4 linked regions of the Callithrix jacchus genome follow. The main gene of each other region encodes a partner of the protein of the gene in region 3 in a complex. Links are inferred from orthologs where the notes say so. Each region holds a gene or a part of one and is shown on either strand. Other genes may lie near its edges. The genes, in order: PPP4R4, PPP4R1, PPP4R3B and PPP4C.

Region 1 (5,944 bases), on a different chromosome or scaffold from region 3:
AGAAGGGAAACTATAAAACATGGCTGAAAGAAATCATAGATGACATAAACAAATGGGAAAACATTCCATGCTTATGGATTGGAAGAATCAATATTGTTGAAATGGCCATATTGCCCAAAGCAATTACAGATTCAACACATTCATATCAAACTACAAGTGTAATTTTTTACAGAATTAGAAAAATTATTCTAAAATTTATATGGGACCAAAAAAGAGCCTGAATAGTCAACTCAATCTTCAGCTGCTACTTCAGCCCTCTGAATACCCAATTTTCCTGTCAGCCTTTTACCTATTAGTTTTAGAGTCTATTGATTATCCTTACTTGAATCAGTGATTTCATTGTAACTTGCAAAATAATTTTAAAATTCCATCATTTCTTATACATTTTTGATGGTGGCATTCTGTGAAGAAGTACATTCCTTTGTCCTCATTGGTTATTTGATGACCTTGAGCTACATTTACTAATGTAAAGACAGGATGAATTCTTAATATTTTTCCTCTAATTATCAATTTTCAGAGCTAGGATTTGATGCAGTAGCTATTTTTAATGGTGACAAGAGTACTTTGTTTTTAATTTCGACTCTTTTAGATAAAATAATGTCATTGCAGTTATTTTTTGTGTACAAATTGTCACAACTTCTTTAAGCTGGCTTTTCAGGCTTTTGACCTGATTACATTTATCTTTGACTTTGGGCCCAAAAGAATACCTTATGGCATAAACTATATATAATATCTATTTTATATGAGATACAAAATGTACATATTTTCATATGACTAGTGTATATGTATTTGAAATTTTATCAGTAAATACAAAATGAAAGGAAAGAATAACATGCTTTTATTTTGTTTGCCATTTATCAAAAATTCATTTTCCTTAAGTCCAGTCATGTTTCTGCTTATGTATATTTCTTAAATTTTCTAAATCATAGGAAATAACCTCTTTTAACATTCAACAGATTAAAAACCCCTCTCAAATTGTACCGGATAGAATGTGAATAGCTTGTATAAAATATGAGAGGAGGTAGCAGGTAACACTGTCTCAGCAACATAGTTTCATTCTATTTGAATTTTGAGGATTCCCACTATGATATTTGGGATCTGTAGTAATTCAACATTATATTTGTATGCAAGTCAAGATAATGAACGTGAATTTATACTGGGCACAATATACCTGGTTAAGAGATTTTTCTCTAATGTATGGTTTGAACCCAAACCCAGGAAAGAAAAATGGCTGTATTTATTTAACTTAAGGTTCTGCTTAGCAGTGTGACAGAAATTCAAAGGACAAAGGGACTTGAAATACCTTTAAGAGTGATTGACATGATATCTTTTGAATTCTAAACTTCATCTGTATCATGAAGAGCTAGAATTAAGCCAGAAGGATTGAAGAGCATACCTGATCATGGGATCCCTAAGTTTATATTTTAGTAGTGGCATATTTTTGGTGATATACCTGACACATGGCATGTTTTAGCAAATGTTGTCAGATGAATGAATGACAAAGTCCAGGGAACAGCTAAAAGAATAGGTGACAGGGATGTATTTGATCATTTAAGGTGAGATGGCAAGGAAATGAGCGTCATATCTGGATGATTTGGACATGACTATGCCAAATTAACTTTGTAATATCATTATTAGTTGATTTGCCTGGTGGTTAACATTAATTTGTGAAGATACTTCCAGAAGGATAGAAGTTCAGTGAGTTGAGAGACAGTGAACACTTCCATTTCTTTTTAGTCAATAACTTAAAATTGATTTGGTGGGGCCAAATTATCTAGAATAGAATTAGCCTAGTGTAACTGTCTGCCTTATTTATTTCTTCAAGAATGTCTTACCTGTCCAAAAGGCAGCCTCACGAACTCTATGCATTTTTCTGCGTTATAATCGAAAACAAGAACAAAGACATGAGGTCATTCAAAAATTAATTGAACGTAAGTAAACATTATCTACTATTTCGAAAAAGGAAAGTAAACAAACTAGTTGGCTTTAGTTATATTTGACTTATGTGTCATTTTGCTGTGAATAATTAGGTTGATATTGGGTTTTATAAGTTGATTTTCATTTTTAAGAAATCCTTATGGCAAGATTAGATCTATGATGAATGAAAGAAATAATTACTCTATTTTCTTTTGTGAATTTCTACACTTTAGAAATTAAAATATGTTTACTTATATTGAAAGCCCAGTTTCTACTCTGATGAAATAACATTTGGAACTAAAATATAAATAGAATATCCATGAATCTAATCATTTATTTTATGGTCCTATTTCAATATTAACATAATTAACAGAATCTGGGATTTTTCCTTGAATAGAGTTGATAGTATATTTGAATATGAATTTGATGAGCCTAGTTGGTTTATAATGCCTTAAGAAACTACGTCAGTTTACAAATGCAAATTTATTTTGATTTGGTAAGAGCTAAAATCAAGGCAGAACCCTTTGGTTTATAGTATTGATTCTAGAAATAGTTGCACATACCCATATATACTTAGTAAGTTTGTTAATTATTGTATATTTGCTTTGCCTATAATGTCTTAATGTTTTTACTAATCTATATTATCCAGCATAGGCAGGTAATGGGATTTTCTAGTTATTGGAGTTTACCATTTTAAGTGTGGATCACTACTTTTCAAAAAATTAGACTCCTTTTATAAAATTCCATTTAAGAAAAGGTATGCTCAGCATACTTTAATCTTTCTTTTTATAGTCTTATTTTAATTCAGTTTTCAGTTTTCAGTGGTAAGACCTCATGTTTAGAATGCTTTATTTTGAAAGAAGATTCAGTTTGGTTTTAAATATTAAGAATTTTATTTTTGAACGTTTATGTAAAAAGAAAACCTTTTTAATATTGATCTCAATTATTATCAATAATACTGTTTACATATGACTGTATCTAGCATTTTTAAGGAAACAAAGGGAAGAAAATTTGATTATTAAAACACTTTGAAGTTTTACAGACCTGTGTTTGAATTCTAGCTCTGCACCTGCCAGCTGTATGACTTTAAACTCACTAAATCTCAGTATCCTTATGTTTAGGAGGAAGAAATATGTGCATCAATTTGGGCTGCTTTTCAGGGTTAAATGAGATAATATGTGTAAAGTACTTAGCACATAGTGGGTGATAAAAAGTAGTAAATGTAGTCATTCCATAGTTAATAAATGCTTATGAAATTGAATGAAATGTTTGACAAATTTTTTTTTATGGTTTTTGAGGTGTCAATTTGGGGATTTACAAATCTGAGGTATATAATAATGATTTTTTTCCTCTTATCTCTTGTACTTGCTAGCCAAATTGTGAGTATGAAGAAACTTGTTATGAATTTTGTGTGTCTAATTTTGTCACATTAATTTCATGTAGGAAAAATTAACTTAAGATGATTTTTGTTGTTTCTAGAATTGGGCCAAGGAAAAAGTTACTGGAATAGACTTCGATTTTTGGATACTTGTGAATTTATTATAGAGATATTTTCCAAATCGTTTTTCTGTAAATATTTCTTTCTACCTGCTATTGAACTGACACGTGATCCAGTAGCAAATGTGAGGTATGTTATCAATCAATGAAAAAATTTGAAAACATTGTATTTATTTTTATCTACTGTAGTGAACATATGCAAAGTCTTTTTCTTAGCCAATTAAAAATTTAAGTGAAGAATTTACACATGCTTTGAAATTGTTAGTATTCATAATTGATGGGTATCAGTAAGACTTGGAAGCACACTCTTTCAGCACTGTCTCAGATCTTTTGTTTTATTGGGTTGAGAGCAGCAGTAAGTCAAAGCCAGATTGGTAACCTTCTTTGGCTGTTTAGGCATATGCATTGCAATGATTAGAAGGTGGAGTAGATATTATTAATTTTTCATTAAAATTAAAGAAAAGTTGGTCAGTAGCCTTGTTGCTTCAAAGTTGGCTTGGTGAGCATCCGTTAGTTTTTCGAGGCCCATTTATTCAAAGAAGTAGTATTGCTTCGAAGTCTTCATCTTGTCTTCTATGTTTAGCTGCCTTACATTTTTGAAATCCACTGAAATGTTAATTGCATTTGATTAACTGTTGAGTTGGATGGACAGACCTGAAAATGGCTTGCCTGGAAATGCAAAAAAAGAATAAATATATTTTGTCCTCTTTCTCCCCAAATGAGCACATCTTCCTTTTTTTTTATTGTGGTAAAATATATAATATAAAATTTACTATATATTTTATATTATATATAATATATAATTTACTATATATTTTATATATAATATATATCACTGAACTATAAAGTGACATTAAAGTTCAGTTTACATTAAAGTAAACATTAAAGTAAATGCACATTATTACTTAAGAGCTATTTTTGTACAATTGATAAAGAATTTTAAACCCTCAATCATTAGATTACTGTGTTCTAAGTCCTGCATCTCCATTTTGAACTTGAGCTCAAATCTGTAGGAAAGAGAAACATCAGAGTCAGTTGGCCAAAGGCTTTCCTGGACAAACTCTTGAACTCCTTTCTAAATTTTTATACACTAGGGGCACTTAGTTTTATGCATCAGAGAGATGCATATGTACCTCTTTTATAAACAACTGATGTGAATTTTAGGCAATATGTAAAAACATCAAAACTTTTTAATAGGAGGAGTTGGTGAGATAATAAGCTAGCTAAGATTAATAGCCTTGGTGTTGAGATATGTACAAAAATGAATTGTCAAAAGATACTGAAAAGTTCAACCTAAGAATTTTATGAGCATTTTTTAATGGGAACAAATATAGAAGTTTTTGTTTTGTATTTTAAATGTGAGAAAATATAGAAAACACAACTGCATTGACTTAGTTTTCTGTGCATATTTCTTGTGCTTTATAAATGAGAGGTGATGTATTACTGACATTCAAAACAGCATGGTACTGGTACAAAAACAGAGATGTAGACCCATGGAACAGAACAGAGGCCTCAGAAGTAACGCTGCACATCTACAACCATCTGATCTTTGACAAACCTGACAAAAACAAGCAATGGAGAAAGGATTCCCTATTTAATAAATGGTGTTGGGAAAACTGGCCAGCCATATGCAGAAAACTGAAACTGGATCCCTTCCTTATATTGTATACAAAAATTAATACCAGATGGATTAAAGATTTAAACATAAGACCTAACCACATAAAAACCCTAGAAGAAAACCTAGGCAGTATCATTCAGGACATAGGCATAGGCAAGGACTTCATGATTAAAACACCAAAAGCAATGGCAACAAAAGCCAAAATAGACAAATGGGATCTAATTAAACTTAAGAGCTTCTGCACAGCATAAGAAACTATCATTAGATTGAACTGGCAACCAATGAATGGAAAAATTTTTTTGCAATCTATCCATCTGACAAAGGGCTAATAACCAGAATCTACAAAGAACTTAAACAAACTTACAAGAAAAAAGCAATCCATCAAAAAGTGGGTGAGGGATATGAACAGACACTTTAAAAGAAGACATTTATGCAGCCAACAAACATATAAAAACTCGTCATCACTGGTCATTAGAGAAATGCAAATCAAAACCACATTGAGATACCATCTCACACCAGTTAGAATGGTGATCGTTAAAAATCAGGGAACAGCAGATGCTGGAGAGGATGTGAAGAAATAGGAATGCTTTTACACCGTGGTTGGTAGTGTAAGTTAGTTCAACCATTGTGGAAGACAGTGTGGTGATTCCTCAAGGTTCTAGAAATAGAAATGCCATTTGACCTAGCAATCCCATTACTGGGTATATACCCAAAGGATTATAAAACATTGTATTATAAAGACACATGCACACATACGTTCATTGCAGCACTGTTTACAATAGCAAAGATTTGGAACCAACCCAAATGCCCATTAATGATAGACTGGATAAAGAAAATGTGGCACATACACACCATGGAATACTATTCAGCCATAAAAAAGGATGAGTTCATGTCCTTTGCGGGGACACGAAT
Region 2 (5,944 bases), on a different chromosome or scaffold from region 3:
AACTGAGAGATCAATTTCACTGAAGAGGTGCAAACTTTGTTACACAGAAATCAGCCCTGGCAGGGAAGGTTACATCACCAAGCTTAGGAAGAGGTACCACACGAAAGTCACAAAGTTCCAGACACAATGACCTGAAGCAAGGGTTTACTTTGTGTGTTCTGTTGAAAGGGGGTGGGGGTGGTGTGTGTGGACGAGGAGAAAGCAATAACCATGGACCTTCTTTCATCTATACAACAATGCTCATGGCACGAAGGGCCCAGAACTTCATACTTGCCAATAACAGTACAGTTCTATTACAGTTTAAATAAATATTTTGAGATCAAGTGTGAAAATCAAATAAGCATTTATAATACTATTTCTATGTGAAAAATTAAATCCTATATTATCAACAATTAACCTACAGATAAACTTTAGATAATAACACATTTTAAGTTAGAAACTTAAGCATGTTGAATGTGATAACAATTTCTAACGCTTCAGATAAAAATGAAGAAGCCAAATTATGGGGCTCTGACAGTGTAAAAAAGAACACACTCCGTTATTACTCTTTTTTTTTGCAATGTTAATTCATTTTATTTATCTTGTATAAAAACCCTATGTTGCAGCTACAGCTGGAGCTTGGGTCCTCTGCACGGAGACTCTGGTGTGGGTCTTGACTAGGTGGTCAGTGAATTCCTGATAGGGAGACTTGGTGAATACAGTCACCTTCCAGAGATCAGGGGTCAGGTAGCTGTAAGTCTTGGAGATGGCATCAAAGGTGGCCTTGGCAAAGTTGCCCAAGGTGGCAGTGCAGCCCCTAGATGAGGTGTAGTAGTCATCAATACCAGCCATCATAAGCAGCTTCTTGGGCACAGGTGCTGAGACAATGCCAGTGCCCCTGGGCGCGGGGATGAGGCGCACCAGCACAGAACCACAGCAGCCTGTCACCTTGCAAGGGACGGTGTGGGGCTTGCCAATCTTGTTCCCCCAGTAGCCTCTGCGCACGGGGACAATGGAGAGCTTGGCCAGGATGATGGCCCCACGGATGGCAGTGGCCACCTCCTTGGAACACTTAACACCCAGATCGACGTGACCATTGTAGTCCCCAATAGCAACAAACACCTTGAACCTGGTGTGCTGGCCAGCATGGGTCTGCTTCTGCACCAGCATAATCTTCAAAACCTCATCCTTGAGAGAGGCCCCCAGGAAAAAGTCAATGATCTCAGATTCCTTGATGGGCAGAGAGAAGAGATATAGCTCCTCCAGAGATTTAATCTTCATGTCTTTGACCAGGCGGCCCAACTTGGTGACAGGCATCCACTCCTTTTCCTCAGCTTTGCGTCCACGAGCTCCGTGGCCACGACCCCGGCCCCAGATGCCACTGCCAAAACCTCCCTGGAAGCCACCACGGTTCCCCATCCCAGGGCCCCCAGGGTGCCCGGGGCCTCCGGCATCCCCGCCCACGCCCCCCTCCGCTGCACCAGCATCATCCACCATTTGATGTTTTATCGGAGAAGAAGCCATTATTACTCTTAAGCTCTTCCATACATAATTTCCTATAGCATTAAGTACATGCTAGAACATGAACAGAAATTCTTTAGGTTACAAAAAGCAAAGCACTGTGCTTTCCACATGCATGTTCTGCTAATTCTTTAACTGCTTTACTCACCTGCATGTCTGAGGCCAGAGTCTCATATGTCTCTCTCAGACAGTGCCAATTCTGTCTGCCGAGTGTCAGAGCCACACCAGGGAGACTATATGCACAGTGCTTAGCAATTTCAGTGTCAACCGTCTGTGCACGAGAAGGGTCAGTCATAGATAAATACTGATCTAACAAAGCCTGAGGTACAACATCCTAATGGAGAAAGAGAAACCACAGTGACTGAGGAGCTGAGATACATTTTGAGCAGTTTAGATATCAATTGAGCAAAACTATTTTTAAATATACAGATTTTAACATAGCATCTCAAATGGGAAAAACCAATGCCAAATTTTCTGGTATCTAATAAACTAAGAGATACGAAAACCATGTTAAGGGAAACATATATGAACAAATAAAAGTAACTCTAGGAAAACAATGGATAACATCTTAAAACAGAAAATAGCTCAAAGGACAATTAGAATTAATTACTAAATTGAAAAGACACATTAAAATAACACCAGCACCTTTAAATGTAGGCAGAGATGATAATGCTTGTTGTAACCCAGCAAATGCAGTATAACAGGTGCTCTGCACAATTTACATGTTCATTAAAAAAAAAACAGCCAGGCACAGTGGCTCATACCTGTAATTCCAGCACTTTGAGAAGCCAAGGTGGGTGGATCACTTGAGCCCAGCTTGGGCAACATGGTGAGACCCTGTCTCTACTAAAAAATTAAAAAATTAGCCAGGCATGGTGGCTCACACCTCTAATTCCAGCTACTCAGGAGGCTGAGGTGAGATGATGACTTGAGCCCAGGGAGGTAGAAGCTGCAGTGAGCCATGATAGTACCACTGTACTCCAACCTGGGTGACAGAGCGAGACTCTGCCTCAAAACAAAAATTAAAAACATGGCTTCTTTAGATGAAAATTTAAGCAATTTTTTATACAAAATTGAAGAGCACATCTCTAATCAATTTGTATATATGTGAAGAAAAGAAGAACATATTTGCGATCTTGCCTAGGTGTGTATAATATAGCTATGGAAGGACATAAAGGTAAAACTGGTTGTATCTCAAAAGCAAAATGGATGAATGGAGAAGAAAAACTGAGAAGGAAACATCACTGAATGCCTTTTAAGTATCTTGAATTTTGAACTACATAAACAAATTACCCATATACACAAAATGAAAATGGAAATAAACTCATTAAAATAATGATTTGAAATATTGAAAATATGTCTGTAAGTGGGGAAGAAGCATGTTTCAGAACACTGTTTTGAATATTTCATTTTTAATAAATAAAATAAAAATTGGCTAGATACGGTAGTGCGCATCTATAGTCCCAGCTACTTGGGGAGCTGAGGCAGAAGGATCGATTGTTTGAGCCCAGGAGTTCGAGGCTGCAGTGAGCTATGATCCTGCCACTGTGCTCCAGACTGGGTGACAGAGGGAGCTGAGACCCCATCTCTAAAAATAACAACAAAATATACCATTTGACCTGGGAAATTATTGTTACTTCTAACAATAATAATATAGTCCAGGCCAGGTGTGGTGGCTCACACCTGTAATCACAGCACTTTGGGAAGCCAAGGCAGGCGGATCACTTGAGGTCAGGAGTTCGTGACAGCCTGGCCAATGGCGAAATCCCATCTCTACTAAAAATACCAAAAATTAGCTGGGCAGGGTGGCTTGTGACTGTAGTCCCAGGTACTTGGGAGGCTGAGGCAGGAGAATGGCTTGAATTCAGGAGGTGGAAGGTGCAGTGAGCCGAGACGGCACCACGGCACTCCAGCCTGGGCAACAGAGGGAGACTCCATCTCAAATAATAATAAAGTCCTAGAAGCAAACAACAAGTATAGGCAGTCATGGTGAATGTAGCACTACTTATAGCATCAAAGTGAAACTACAACAGGTAGCATCTCTCACGGTTTCTTACGAGGGAGACAACAGGTATGGCGTTAACACTGTGCTGCGCTGCTGTGAAGGTGAGGGAGTCCTGGTGTGCTTACAGGAGAGATCACCAGGTCACATTGTTAGAAGAGGAAAAAAAAAGAGCAAGGCAAGGCACAGCTATCACATTCCAGTGATTCCATGAGCACAGTTTCCTTGCAGCTTGTTACTGACAGCACTTTAAAATGGCTTTGAGCCTTTTTAAAAATATTTTCATCTCTGAAATCAAGCTATATTTTATAATTATTGGCAATGGGAACATGAGGACATACCTAGGTAGGATGGGATGACCACAGTTGTCTTGAATGATAAAAAGGGGTACATGTGTACATTTATGTGCCCATGAAGATACATGAAGGAAGATAGCAGGGTTCATGATCATGGTCACTCTGAAGGAAGAATGGGATCACAGGGGTAGGAAAGGGAAGATTTGTGCTTACATGTTCCTCTACTATTTCAATGGAAAATATGATATACTAGTCATAATTTTTAAAACATTCATCATAAAGAAGGGTCAAATTAGGTCAGAAATGGGCTCTAAAAGAGGAATTAGGAACAGACACACAAAAGAATACATTTTTTTGGTCACTTACTTGTACTTTAGTTCTCCTTTCCTCATCAGGGCTGAAACTGCTATTGTTGCTCAAGTCTGAATCGTTGTGAATATAGTGAAGAGTGGAGTCCATATTCTGTTAGGAAAAAATAACTACTTAAAGAGCTATCCTGTCTGTACATCTTCATTTTAGCTATCTAAGTTACTTACCTTTCAAGACTGCCAAAAGTAATAACACATATAAATTCCTCATGTTTTTAAAGCTTATAAACATACCTAAGAACTTTTCCTGCTTTAAATCTATCTTACTGAATAGGTTGCCAAATGCATGAAAACCAATTCCAGAAAAATGAGAGTAACTGAAAATAATATCTCAAAGTAATTTTGAAATGGTCCAAATAGCTCAAATTGGCTTATTCATAAAATAGTACTGGGAAGATTCTTTTGGTCCATTGTTCTAGAGACCATGGAGTGTCACATGCAGTTTTTCTTCTATTTCTATTCTTGGCTGTTAATATCCAATTTCACAAGTTATATACATGTTAACAGCCAAAAACAGTAACAACAACAACATAAAAACCTTCTAAGATGCAGATATATTAATGCTATTCAAATCTCCAATAAATGGTCAGGGTTTCAATCCAAAGCAGTGGTATTATACAGATTTCTAACTATACCACATGCCATCTAACTGAAATCAAAACAGAAACGCACTAATGTTCTAAGAACCCTCTTGCCAACCCCAGTGTGTGTGCAGGCACTCTTTCCTGAGCTTCCCATTCAAGCCAGTATAATCTGTGACCATGCGATTCTGGCACGCAGTGGGGTATTCCTTCTCCCCATTAATAAAAACAAGAGCTAAGTAGCACTGTTACCAAATAATGTTGGCTTGATTGAGATGCAGCAGGAAATTAGGGAAGGATCATAGAGAACAGCTACAAGTACAAGTGAAGATGATGCTAGGATCAGTACCCACCCTCACACTCCAGAGTCCAGATAATGTCACTGGCCCTCCGCAACATGGCCTCAAGTCCCGATCTTCTGCTCAGAATATTGTGTTGCTTGCTGCAGTGAAATGGTCCGATCAGAAACAAAGCACCTCTCCAAAAAGAAAAGGGAAGAGTTAATTATTCTTGATAAAGGGCTTTGTTTCCAGTAAGACTACTTCACTGCAGTGAGCTACATTAACATTGAGTCTACTAAATGGTCATATAGACAAAAGTGGGATTTACTTTTCCAGGCAATTCATATGACACTGGTGTCACAAGGACAGGATGTGATGAAAACAAGGAAGAGCTAAAAACTCAGCAACAAACAGAACATACAAACTAAAAGTGATTAGCTAAAACTATTCCCCAATGAAAAGTCTTCTGATTCAAACTACTCTCACTCGGTAAACACTTTACTGAGTTTGTTACCTCAACAGTATCGCTGATTAAAGGCACAGAATCATCTTGACTTATTTTACAATTTGGTAGCTCATTTATACCCAGTTCATCTTGCAAATCACTTCTCTTTTCTATATTGATGGTCTCTTCATGCGCATCCAGGCTGGAAGCACGTAGTGCAGCAGACAGCACTTCCACTTGTGCTACAGGCAAAATAAGTAAATGGACAAAGTGAGAAACACAACTGCAATATTCTTACAGGGCTTTTGTCCATTTGCATTGTACGTTATCAATGAAATATATACTTTCTTGACACTGCCATCAAAAAGCTGGAAAAAATTTCTACTGTGGTAAATCATTAGTTCTTCAAGAGAAAAAGTAGAAAACTAATATGCTTTCATGAGATTAAAAATGTTTATCTGCTACTGTACA
Region 3 (6,705 bases):
CCTTAAAATGTCTAAGGTATAGGAAACATCTTCAGATTTTCAATTCAGGACAAATGTTTAATTTGCTTCTCCATCAAAAAAGACACACAATATTTTCTAAACAGAGAAAAAAGCTATTAATTGAATATTGAAAATTTTAAAGTATTTCAAAGAACTGATTAAGAATGTGTTGTATACATAAAACAATTGTTTAACAGTAAGACTTTGTATTAATAAGCTGCACAACAGACAGAATTTTATTCCTCCAACTATGAAGTACTTGTTTCTGGGCATCCAAATTTTCATAAACCTTGAAGCACTGATGCTGTAAATGTAATCCTAAAATAATTTATCTTCCTTCAACAATCTCTGCCATTGTCACTTTACATACCACACACACAAAATACCTGGAAATAATTCAAATGTATAACAACAGGTGTATGTCATAAATAAGAATACTATACAGAGTTTAAAAAGAAAACTAGATCTACATTGTTAACATGAACAAATATTCAAAATGAATGTGTGAAAAATGCAAGCTGCAGAATACATGTAAAAGTACGATATCAACTGTGTAAAGTTTAAAAACACACAACAGACTACATATTATTTATGGATACATACATATGCAGAAAAGGTATAAAAGCATGTACACAAAGAATACACATCAACTTCAGAATAGTGGTTACCTATGTAGAGGATGGAGAATGGAGAGAATGGGATGGATACAAACAAGCTTTAACTCTATCCATAATGTTCAATATTACAAAAGTATTTGAAACAAGTATGATATAATGTTAACATTGTTAAATCTGGTGGTGTTACAGTAGACCCCCATTATTCTCTGTACTTTTCAATTTTAATATATTTCATAATAAAAATAAAAACATTCACAGAATAAAAAGGTTGAATCACTGCTATCATTTTCAGATTAATCAGGCATGCTAAAATACAACACACATTTTCTTTCCCAAATAAAACAATAAATATTAACAGAAGATGGTACATAATTGGCAATGTACACTTTTATAAAGTATCCATTGATTACTATAATAAAAATATACAACAATTAAAGAGCAGAATTTAATGTTTCTACTTCAAAACCTCTATCTTTACCTAAGTCAAAGGATTTAATTTCACACCACAAACAGGCTTTCTTAAAAGTGTCCCTTTGAATTTTCTTTCAAGTCATTTTCTTTAAATGTGACTCAGAATAAAAGGTTTCATATACAAGGTATAGAAGAGTCCTGGCTAACTATAGTTAAATAATACTAATACATCATAATCTAATATAAACTGACAGTGGTTCAATTCAAAAATGGTGATAATTATCACCAGTACAAAAACTCACTTTTCAGTCTGAAACTTTTAACCTGCAAGAGAAATACACATGATCTTTGTTTACTAAACATGTTTTTTCTTGTCAGGAAAGCTTTCCCACCTTTGTCAGATTAATACTTCCTTGATCACAGATGAAGTCTTTCAAATTAAAGATAAACAACTACTTGCCTGTTGTTTCTGATATGCAGTATTTGGATTTATCTTTGATTCCAAGAGTAGTGATCCTGAAAGATAAAAAATAATAATATATCATAAGTCTAAAATGATAAAAACCTAAATAAAAATAAGAATACACATTAAGGCCAGGCACGGTGGCTCATGCCTGTAATCCCAACACTTTGGGAGGCCGAGGCAGGCAGATCACAAGGTCAAGACATCAAGACCATCCTGGCAGACACAGTGAAACCCCATCTCTACTAAAAATACAAAATTCAACTGGGCGTGGTGGCATGTGCCTGTAGTCCCAGCTACTGGGGAGGCTGAGGCAGGAGAATCGCTTAAGAAAGAGGCGGAGGTTGCAGTGAGCTGAGATTGTGTCACTGCACTCCAGGCTGGTGACAGAGCAAGACTCCATCTCAAAAAAAAAAAAAAAAACCACACCCCCCCCCCCAACGTTTTCATGTCTTTTGACCCAACTGGATATCTGAAGTAATAAAATGTATTCGAATTCACATTTTCTCTCCAAGTCTAGGCTTCATATTTAATTTAGAATATTTCTTACTATTCCCATACACTCTTAAAGAAAAAAATTCGTTTGAAACCAACATTCAAACCAAGGAATGAGGAGACTAGATGGCTATTAAAATTTTACTGAAATAAAAATTTTAAGGTCTAAATGACCACTTCAAGCCGTTTTTTAAAGTAAAAGTTGTTTTATTGTATTCCCAGTTTAACAATAAAGCAAATTACAAAACAAAAACAAAACACCATGACAGGGATTAAATACTTGGTATACAAATTAAAGTGCTGCATTTATCCTTTTCTCATTAAGAACAAAAGAACACCTTCTGTAGAAATAAGCGTTGACTATTTAAAATAAAAGGGAACGTGCAAGAAAACAAAATATGTCAAGAATAAACCTAAGATTAGTTTTCTAAGTGCCCATATTAGTTGTTCAAATCAAGTCCAGATTACAATATAAAAGGCGTTTTAATTACGGCTCTACATTTTGTAATTTAAAATACTTCACATGACTACAATAAATCAAAGAATATGAGTTTACAACCTGCTTTGGTGTCCCAACTTGCTTAGACTGCAAGGCATTCACTTTTTCACAGCGCCTTCTACAAAGGCAGCCCAAAGAAATCCCACACTAAAGATGTATGTGCTTGTGTGTCCATGTATCGTGGTAACAGTCAGCAATACAGCCAGGAAAAGGTGCCTTTTGGTTTTCCCCAGCACCCGCCGACTGTGGCACCTGGGGCCCACTGGTAAATTTCTTTTAACGACACTCGGAAAGAAAAGTTTCGCTAAACCTTTTGTACTAGATGTATAATGGATACGAAAATAAAGGAATAAAGGGGGAGGAGGGTGTCAGCTCCTACGGCGACATCAGTACCTAGTCTCTCACTACTTCCTCCCTTCTCTTACACTCTCCCCTCTTCAAAAGAGGAGGGACTGTAAAAGAAGAAGTCCAATCCTTAAGAGGGATGGGAGGCGGACAGAGTCTCAGTCTCTGAGGATAAGTCCAGTCAAAAGTACAGTAGTTTGTTTTTGGCGTACACAAGCTCCAGCTTAGAACCAACGCGCTGTCCCGAAGTGGTAGTAACGGTAACCGGCCCAGGGCCTTAAACCCCAGACTGTGCCCCAATCAGAGGCACTATCCCCTGTTCTACCGTTCCGATAACCTTACCGTCGGACTCTGCCCGAACCAGCAGCGACATCCCCTTGAGCTCCTCCACGTAAGTAGAGGAGACGTGCCCGGTGCCTCGGTCGTCCCATTGCCGGTCTTCGTTTAGGGTATAGACCTTCACTCGCCGCCGCGTATCCGACATGGTGGCTGCTGTCTCCACCGCTCCAGCCGCCGCCTCCTCGCTCACCTCGTCCGCGCCCCTCACTCTTGAGAGACGGTAGAGGCGGTAGTGGCGGCGGCGGCTCCGGAGAGGCCCGAATTCACCATGGTCCAGAGATTCAGCCGCGAGAAGGGGTGACAAGAGCCACTGAGACCCCTTCGCCCGGAGGCCCTGTTACCTCTCACTTCACCCCCGCATACACCCACCCTCCGGTCCCTTTGCTCCCCAGGGCTCGCTCGCTCTCCCACCGCCGCCGGTACCGCCGCGGTAACTACTACAGATCCGCCATCTTGTAATCCGACTCTCTCTGCCTTTCTTTTCCTCCTCCAGCAGGCTCGCACGGGCTGTCCTAGCAGGGGCTACGGCGGCCGACGAGTTCAATGAACCGCACCTCCGCTTCTACAAGCGCTTCCGAAGCCGGAATGCTCAGCGTTCTCGCGAGGAAGGGTACACGACTGGGGCAGGAGTGCTTCAGCGAGACTTCCTCCTCTTCGGCCCCGCCTCCTGGCGCGGGATCGTAATTGGGCAGGAGGTTCTCGCGATCTTCCCGGCATGCGCCGCGAGAGGCTGCTCGGCGGAAGGCGGCTGGGCTGAGTCCGGTTCCGCACTTCGTCAGGTTATAGGCTAGCTGGCAGCTGCGTGTGATGTTCGCAGAAACTCAGTTTTGAGGAAAAAGCAAAGCAAACCGGGGAAGTACGAAGCCTTGAACCGGAGTAACCAGGTACAGAAAGAAAAGTGCTCGCATATCTTGATGGAAGGAAGTTCACTCCGTCCGCCAGAGGGAAAAAAATTCAAACCTTTCTGTGAAAAAGAACAAACTGTGAAATTTAAACCTTTCTGTGAAAAAGAAAAAGAGTAGAACTCTTTCAGCCGAATAGAAGCCCACTAAACCTCGTTACAATTAAGCATCTGCCCAGGAAGTGTCTGTGCACACAGCTCTCCAGGCGGTTCGTGCAAGTGTGTTGACAGTTTCCTATTTCCCTCAGAGCGTTTCACCACCGCCAGGCTTTTAATAGCTGGCGATTGGAAAGCACATTTTCCGCTTCATGCAATACAATGCTCTTCCCATGTTTGTAACCTTGGAAAGTAAGTCTGCAGATAAGTTTAGGGAAGTGGCGGGGAGCTACTTTCCTAACATCTGTCATTGTTTCGATAATTCAGGTTCTCACGGGCGTTTCCTGTATTCTCTATAGGGGTCTCCTGCACTGAATAAGCGAAGGAGAAATTTCCTCTGCATCGAGGCTATTGTCGCACTTTGCGAGGTGGATATGGTTCACGCACTGGGTCGTAGTAGCGTGTCGTTTATTTAAATCCCAGCTCGCTCTTTGTAGAATCCCTTTATTCATTCTGTTGTTGGTTGACAGTCTCTTTCTGTCGCCCAGTCTGTAGTGCAGTGGCGCGATCTTGACCCACTGCAGCCTCCGCCTTTAGGGCTCAGTCAATCCTCTCACCTCAGCCTCCGGAGTAGCTGGGACCACAGACGCCCAATCCCCACCCCGGCTATGTTCGTTCTTTAATACAGTCTCTCAGCTTGTTCAGCTGTCACTTCTGTGCAGCCCGTTAGCCACTTCAGTGAAAACCAGGCGAGTCATGCACGCTGACTGACCCTGCAGTGCATTTTGGGAGTTGTAGTCATAGTTAATCAATGGTCTTGTTAAAACGTGCTTATGTTTTGACCAGATCACTTATGAGTGGACACCCTTCAGCAGTATACTACAACGTGGGTCAGTGTACAGAACACACGCGCTGATAATTATTTCAAAATCTGGATTCACAGTATTTTTTGTTTGAATTTTGAGACGGAGTTTTCCTCTTGTTGCTCAGGTTGGAGTGCAATGGCGCGATCTCGGCTCACCCCTACCTCCGCCTCCCAGGTTCAAGTGATTCTCCTGCCTCAGCCTCCCAAGTAGCTGGGATTACAGGTATGCGCCACCCACGCCTGGCAAATTTTGTATTTTTAGTAGAGACGTGGTTTCTCCATGTTGGTCAGGCATGGTCTCAGACTTTTGACCTCAGGTGATCCGCCCACCTATGCCTCCTAAGGTGCTGGGATTACAGGCTTGAGCCACTGCGCGCGCCCGGCCCAGAAAACAGCTTTTTCTCGTTTTAAAAGAGAAGGGTGCCCAAATGGGACTTCTCAGTTGCTGTTTTGTGTGTGTTTTTTTTTTAATCTATAGGAGACCTCAGAAAATGTACTTGAGCTAAGTCATCATGATATAGTACATAACAATAGAGCCAGTTAATTGATGTGATGAATGTGGACAAAATGTGTTTTGACCTCAGAGAAAATAACATTTCTGCCTTGGAAGAGTCAGAGAATGCTTCACACAATTTTTGAGCCTGATGTTAGACGCTCCAGCCTTCTGTCCAGCCTCACCCTTTGGTTGCTTCTCAGGAGGGCTGAACTTGGGAAGAGGATTGTGCAGACCCTGGAATCAGGCTTGGCTTTTGGGATAGGGAATTCTAGAGTGCCCACAGCATGGTCTGAAAAAGGGAGAGTTGGCTGCAGGTGGCTTTAGTCCCATGATTCCATGGACTTCAGACTCCTCCAAAGCACAGGGCCCAGTGCTTGCTCAAGTCTGAGGGCACCTCACAACCCACATTTTCCTCAGCGGATGTTCTTTGCTTCGGGCAGTCATCAAAGTTCCACTTCAAAGAGTTGCTAACCAAATATGCCCACAGTCTCCCGTTTTTATTCTTTTTTTTTTTTTTTTGGTGTGTTTTGAATAAATAATGCCTTTACACATACAAAATTTAAAAGGCAGAAAAAGGTATGTAGTGAAAGTAAGTCTTCTTTTAATCTTTTTCTCTTGTCACTCATGGAATTTTCCTCTTGAAATCACCACTATTCCATTTTCCTGTGTATGTTGCCAGAGCAGGGCTGGTTTTATGGATGTTACCTCTACAGATAGGTACTTGGTTTAATGTTTTGCTATCACTAGCTTGAAATTCAGAAGAGTTTTGAACAAGGGCCATGCAGATTTATTTTGCACTGGGCCCACAAAGTATGTATTTAGTTCTGTTCCAGAGACATTGTGTGCATATACAGGTAACTATATATAAATGTGTATGTTGTGGTCCAGTAGTGGTCTGAGGCCTATTAGAAACTGAGCAGCATAGCAGGAGGTGAGTGGCGGGGGAGCCAGCATTTCAGCCTGGGTTCCATCCCGTGTCAGATCAGCGGGGGCATTAGATTCCTGTGGGAGGGAGAACCCTTTTGTAAACTGCACATGCAGGGGATCTAGGTTGTGCACTACTTAGGAAAATCTAACTCCCCTTCCTACTACAGAGGTCCCCAACCTTTTTGGCACCACTGTCTTCCACAACACCAGTCTCTGGTGCCAAAAAGGTTGGGGACCTCTGTAGTAGGCTA
Region 4 (5,944 bases), on a different chromosome or scaffold from region 3:
TAAACACAATAGGAAAGCATGGAAGCTTCAGCAGGGACTAAATCCTAGCTCTGCCACTTTCTACTTATTTCATTTTCTGGCCTTCAGTTTCTTCATCTGTGAAATGGGTATAATGATGGCCCCTACCTGACAGGGTCCCTGGGAGGGTGAAATGCCTGGCACTGGTTAAGTACTTATTACTACGACCATGGCCATCATCATCATCATCATCACCACCACTGTTCCCCAGGGAGCGAGACGCCCGTGTGAAGAGGAAACTGCGGGGCCCAGAGCCAGCAGCCACAGAGGCCTGTGGGAGCGGAGGTGAGTGTAGTCCCGATGGCGATGGGGCCAGGCCCGAGACACCGATCCTCCGTAGCCCAACCTCTCCCTTCCCTTTCCCTAGACACCCCAGGTGGTCCCTGCGACTCCACCCTGGGTGGAGACATTCGTGAATCAGATCCAGAGCAGGCCCTAGCCCTGGGGGAAGCCACCACTGTCCCGGTGCCTCCGTGCGGTGGCCCCAGTGCCGAGGCCTACCTCCTGCACCCTGCAGCTTTCCACGGGGCTCCCAGTCACCTTCCCACCAGGTGAGTAGGACAGGGGACCAGATGGTGCTGCGGGTCCCTCTGCCCTGCTCTGACATCCCTCTCTCCATGTCAGGAGCTCCAGCTTCCCGGAGGCTCCAGACTCTGGGCGCTCAGCCCCCTACTCAGCTGCATTTCTGGAGCTGCCACCTGGGCCAGGGGCCTCTGGGTACCCAGCGGCTCCGCCAGCAACACCCTTTGCCCCCCACTTTCTCCAAGGGGGCCCCTTCCCTCTACCATACCCTGGGCCTGGGGGCTACCTGGATGTGGGCTCCAAACCCATGTACTGAGCCAATGCTGGGCCCTTCTGCCTCCATCATAAACCTCCTGCTCCCTTCCCCCAGCCCTGGAGCCCCCTCACCTCCACCGGCCCCATCCCCCACACCAAATGGCTGCCTTGGGCATGCCCCCCACCCCCCAACTTCACACCTTGATTTCACTCCCACCCCCCTCTGGCTTCAAAGCCCAACCAAGGCTGCTGGGAGTCCAGCTGGGGCCAGCTTCCCCTTCCCGCCTCTCACCTCTGTGTGAATGGAGGGGACTCTGCCTGGCCAAATGGGGCCACAGACCAGCATCCCCACCTCTCAGGCCTCTCCATGGACTCTGGGAGGCTCAGTCCCCACCACCCCCAACACCACTGGTGCAGGCCACACCAGTCTGTTCTGGGACCAGAGTATTTTTGTTAATAAAATTCAAGAGCCATCGTGCTAAGGAAACATTGGGCTCATGTGTTTGGCCCTGGGCGGGGCAGGGTGAACAAAGGCTTTGCTAGAAGACCCAGGCCCAGATCTAAACCTGTGTTTCCAGCTGCCTGACCTAGCACAGAATCCACTGGCTCTCTATGCCCATCTCCTCTTTGGAGAAATCAGAATCTCATGTTGTCAGTCATTAATAAGGCTGCCATGAGAAGTGAGCCTCTCCCTAGCGCTGGGGAGGCCAGCAGACAGCAGCCCCTGGAGGCCCTGGGTAAGCTGACTGGCCTGAGTCAGGCCCTCCTGCCAGGTCCGGGCCCTGAGGCAGTCAAGGCCCTGACGTCCTCCCGAGGTCCCAGGCCAGCAACCCTGCACATCCCCAACCAAGTCTGTCTGGCACAAACCCAAAGATCATTTTTCTTCTTTTATTAGAATTTTTTTTTTCATTTTTTTTTTCTCAAAATGTTTATCTAAAAACAAACAGAAAAAAGAAGGAAAAAAAGAAAAAAAATTATTGGAAACTTCATGGTTCAAGTGGGGAGAGAGGAGAGGAGGAACATGGAGCTAGGTCTCCAGGCCTCTCCAGAGAAGTCCTCACCCTCAAAGCACCCTCTTGGGGGAGAGCAGAGCTGGAGACAGCCCTCCGCCCACGCCCAGCCTCCATCTGGGGAAGAGGCAGAGTCACAGTGGTCCGAGGGCCAGAAGGGCTGGAGGGGGCAGGGGCCAGGGGCTCACAGGAAGTAGTCGGCCACCGGCTTCTTGGAGGGGATGCCCCGTGTCTCTTGGGGAGCAGCCTCAAAGATGATAAAATCTTTCTGGAGATGCTCGTCCAGCTCCAAGATGGCTGCCACATTCCCACAGCTGGAAGGCAGGACGGCAGGGTCAGGAGCAGCTGGGCTCAGATGTCCATCCCTCCCAGCCCGGCCCAGCCGGCTCACCGGTAGCAGTAGTTGGGTGCTGACCACACAGTGAGCACGGTCTCGTTGAAGTGCCACTTGTAACCTTCCATCACCAGTTGGTGGGCACGGCAGATCATGTCAATGTCATTGGCTGCGTTGAACTGGGCCACCACATCACTGCCAAACAGGTAGCCAGCCCCTCGGGGGCTCACACCCCAGCCTGTGGTGTCTGATGGGGCAAGGGAGGGATGGAGGTCCTCAGGGTTCTCTGGCTGCCAGTGCTGCCCCTTGAGGTGAGCAGCCGGGCCCCTCCCAAAGGCCACCAGAGGCCCAGGGGACCAGAGCATGGGGCCTGAATATGGTCTGGGGAATGGTAGGGGTCAGGACAGCAAAGGTAGGGGCAGATAAGCTCCAGAGAAGAAAGAACCAATGGCTGGGGCCCCCTCTGAATCACAGTGATCATACAATTCCCTGTCCGAACAGCACACGGGAGTGAAAGCGGTGGTCCCAGAGACGTTAAGGGCACTCTGTGCTGTCACAGAGCAGTCGGGAGTGGCTGTGGAGCAGCAGCTGCATGTGTCTGTGTGTCTGTGCTGCAGCAGAGGCTGCCTGTGCATGTGTGTGTACATGTGTGTGTGTGTGCTGGAGCAGAGGCTGCCTGTGCATGTGTGTGTACATGTGTGTGTGTGTGCTGGAGCAGAGGCTGCCTGTGCATGTGTGTGTACATGTGTGTGTGTGTGCTGGAGCAGAGGCTGCCTGTGCATGTGTGTGTACATGTGTGTGTGTGTGCTGGAGCAGAGGCTGCCTGTGCATGTGTGTGTACATGTGTGTGTGTGCTGGAGCAGAGGCTGCCTGTGCATGTGTGTACACATGTGTGTGTGTGTGCTGCAGCAGAGGCTGCCTGTGCATGTGTGTGTACATGTGTGTGTGTGTGCTGCAGCAGAGGCTGCCTGTGCATGTGTGTGTACATGTGTGTGTGTGTGCTGGAGCAGAGGCTGCCTGTGCATGTGTGTGTACATGTGTGTGTGTGTGCTGGAGCAGAGGCTGCCTGTGCATGTGTGTGTACATGTGTGTGTGTGTGCTGCAGCAGAGGCTGCCTGTGCATGTGTGTGTACATGTGTGTGTGTGTGCTGGAGCAGAGGCTGACTGTGCATGTGTGTGTACGTGTGTGTGTGTGCTGGAGCAGAGGCTGCCTGTGCATGTGTGTGTACATGTGTGTGTGTGTGCTGGAGCAGAGGCTGCCTGTGCATGTGTGTGTACATGTGTGTGTGTGCTGGAGCAGAGGCTGACTGTGCATGTGTGTGTACATGTGTGTGTGTGTGGAGCAGAGGCTGCCTGTGCATGTGTGTGTACATGTGTGTGTGTGTGCTGGAGCAGAGGCTGACTGTGCATGTGTGTGTACATGTGTGTGTTTGTGCTGGAGCAGAGGCTGCCTGTGTGCGACAGCAGGAACTCTGGACTGCTCCTCAGTAGACCTGATTTTAAATCTCAGTTCTGCTCCACTAGTGGAGAACCCACAAAATGAAGGGTCTCAAAGGGGCTATCATTCTGGGGTTCTGACCTCTGAAGAAGCTGCTGTCATGTTCCAAGGCCCTTTCACTTCAGGGAGCAATGATTTGGTCCTCCACAGCCCTCTGGGCCATGCCTCAAGCCACTGTGCACTCAAAGCATCCGCCATGCAGGCCTCCCTGTTCCTCCTCCAGGGTTCCAGCCATTTGGTAGGTGGAAGATGGACACTAATGGCCAGCCCTGCTCCCTCTCTTCCCCAAACCCTCCCGGCTGTCCCTGCCTGCCCCGGCCCACATGTCCTCACCTTCTGGGTCAGACCAGAGGAGGTCACACATGGGCCCATCATGAGGCACCTCTTGCTTTCGGTCGATAGTCCGGATCTGGTCCAGGGTCTGGATGGAGGGGGAGAGGCCCCCGTGCACACAGAAGATCTATAGGGGAGAGCAAGGAAAGAGGGCGGGGCTGAGGCCCGGAGCCCCCTCCTCTCCCCATCCCATGGAGCCCTGGGCTGGCCTACCTTGCCATCAATGATGGCCGACAGGCTGAGGTAGTCGAAGATCTCGGTGCAGTAGCGCCACACGGTCACCGAGCCGTACTTGCGCAGGCACTCATCGTAGAAGCCGTAGACCTGCGTGATCTGGCGGCTCTCATGGTTGCCCCGAATCAGTGTGATGCGGTCAGGATATCGAACCTGGGGGTGGCCAAGCCAAGGCTGGTACCTAGACTATCCCTCCACACATCCCCCTCTAACCTCCTCACACCTGCCAGCCTCATGCCATCCTCACAACCACTGCCCAGCACACTACTGGCTCCTCTCACCTGAATCGTGTGGCACCAACCACTTCCCAGGCCCGCAGGACCCTTTCCAGAGAATGTAAACCTGACTGTTCCCCATCAACTATGAACCTAATGGCTCCTCTTTCACCTGCCAGACACAGACCAAGTCCTTAGTAAGGCACACAGCCCTTTGTCATCTGACCCCTACCACCTCTCCCACCAGTGGCATCAATCACCTGGCACATTCTCAACAGTAAGCCTCTACCCCTCCCAGAATGCTGCTCTGCTGGCCTCCCCCCACACCAAATTTCTGACCGTCCCCAAAGGCAGAAGCAATTCATGACCAGCGACACAGCTGCAAGGTGGGGCTGGTCACGGTAGATGAGGGCGGAATGAACTAAGAAGGCCCAGCCTGCGGTGGCCTACATTGGGGTACAGAAGCCGGGGACTGTCACCTTAAGTGCCAGCAGCAGGAGGAACGTTTCGACGCTATAGAAGCCACGGTCCACAAAGTCCCCCATGAAGAGGTAGTTGGTCTCAGGGACGTCACCACCCACCTGTAGGGAAGTGAAAGGTTTTTCCCAATCCTAAACCATCCCCTACCCCCTACCTGTTCCTGCCCAGGAGGCCCGTCTTCCACAACTGCCCATCTAACTCGGGGCCTCTTACCCCAACTCTGTGCCCCAAATTAAGGCTTCCACCCTCGATTAAAGGGGTCTTCCAGTCATCCCCCAGTTACATTTCAGTGTTGGCCACACACTCACCCTGAACAGCTCTTTGAGGTCATAGAATTGTCCATGGATGTCGCCGCACACCTGTGGAGCAGGAAGGGGGGTTGGAACTCGAGTGGTGGGAGTTCCCAGGGGCTACCCTCCAAATACCCATTGCTTTAGGGAGCTTTATCGCTCCTGGCTTCACCTCTACTTCCTAGAGCCAAAACTCTCCTCTCCCAACCCAAGCTGGCGAGGTCTGGAACCACATCCACTGTCCCACACTAAGTACCAACTATTCTTTGAGGAAGAACTAAGTCCTAGCAGGTGTATGTCCTGGCCCCCTCCTCTTTCTGCTCCCCTCAAAGTATCCAGAATCAAATTACTAACACAGAGCCCTGGAGACAAGTGAGCAAAATCACTTGCCAAATATAAGTCCTTCTGCTCTGGCCAAGTCTCCACTAACAAATCAAAGGTCTGTTCCCACAACCCCCATTTCTTTTTTTTTTTTTTTTTTTTTGAGATGGTGCCTCCCTTTGTCACACAGGCTTAATTAGAGTGCAGTGGCATGATCTCGGCTCAAGACCTCCACCTCTCGGGTTCAAGCGATTCTCCAGCCTTAGCCTCCCAAGTAGCTGGGATTACACGCATGGAACACCATGCCCAGCTAATTTGCTAATTTTTGTATTTGTATTTTTATTTACTTATTTGTTTTTGAGACAGAGTCTCACTCTGTAGTCCAGGCTGGAGTGTAGTGGCAAAATCTCGGCTCACTGCAACCTCGGCCTCAG

Evidence for each region.
Region 1: PPP4R3B (region 3) and PPP4R4 share a complex: the UniProt entries of both Homo sapiens proteins name them as parts of the PP4 complex. The link is inferred for Callithrix jacchus from reciprocal best matches to the Homo sapiens genes PPP4R3B and PPP4R4.
Region 2: PPP4R3B (region 3) and PPP4R1 share a complex: the UniProt entries of both Homo sapiens proteins name them as parts of the PP4 complex. The link is inferred for Callithrix jacchus from reciprocal best matches to the Homo sapiens genes PPP4R3B and PPP4R1.
Region 4: PPP4R3B (region 3) and PPP4C share a complex: the UniProt entries of both Homo sapiens proteins name them as parts of the PP4 complex. The link is inferred for Callithrix jacchus from reciprocal best matches to the Homo sapiens genes PPP4R3B and PPP4C.

What each region holds. Positions count from the first base shown.
Region 1 is NC_133509.1:129,079,566-129,085,509, forward strand, and holds part of PPP4R4 (serine/threonine-protein phosphatase 4 regulatory subunit 4), read left to right. Parts: intron 1-1,825; coding exon 1,826-1,931; intron 1,932-3,396; coding exon 3,397-3,544; intron 3,545-3,735; exon of another isoform or gene 3,736-4,083; intron 4,084-5,944. UniProt on the Homo sapiens protein: Putative regulatory subunit of serine/threonine-protein phosphatase 4.
Region 2 is NC_133514.1:53,377,908-53,383,851, reverse strand, and holds part of PPP4R1 (serine/threonine-protein phosphatase 4 regulatory subunit 1), read right to left. Parts: intron 5,716-5,944; coding exon 5,543-5,715; intron 4,261-5,542; coding exon 4,165-4,260; intron 1,835-4,164; coding exon 1,649-1,834; exon of another isoform or gene 548-1,648; intron 1-547. UniProt on the Homo sapiens protein: Regulatory subunit of serine/threonine-protein phosphatase 4. May play a role in regulation of cell division in renal glomeruli. The PPP4C-PPP4R1 PP4 complex may play a role in dephosphorylation and regulation of HDAC3.
Region 3 is NC_133515.1:58,562,793-58,569,497, reverse strand, and holds the start of PPP4R3B (serine/threonine-protein phosphatase 4 regulatory subunit 3B), read right to left. Parts: upstream 3,632-6,705; 5' UTR 3,315-3,631; coding exon 3,173-3,314; intron 1,545-3,172; coding exon 1,489-1,544; intron 1-1,488. UniProt on the Homo sapiens protein: Regulatory subunit of serine/threonine-protein phosphatase 4 (PP4). May regulate the activity of PPP4C at centrosomal microtubule organizing centers.
Region 4 is NC_133513.1:29,434,438-29,440,381, forward strand, and holds the end of PPP4C (serine/threonine-protein phosphatase 4 catalytic subunit), read right to left. Parts: intron 5,259-5,944; coding exon 5,208-5,258; intron 5,001-5,207; coding exon 4,899-5,000; intron 4,358-4,898; coding exon 4,184-4,357; intron 4,098-4,183; coding exon 3,971-4,097; intron 2,387-3,970; coding exon 2,197-2,386; intron 2,120-2,196; coding exon 1,990-2,119; 3' UTR 1,673-1,989; downstream 1-1,672. Other genes in the region: T-box transcription factor TBX6, read left to right, coding at 230-303, 386-569, 643-856. UniProt on the Homo sapiens protein: Protein phosphatase that is involved in many processes such as microtubule organization at centrosomes, maturation of spliceosomal snRNPs, apoptosis, DNA repair, tumor necrosis factor (TNF)-alpha signaling, activation of c-Jun N-terminal kinase MAPK8, regulation of histone acetylation, DNA damage checkpoint signaling, NF-kappa-B activation and cell migration.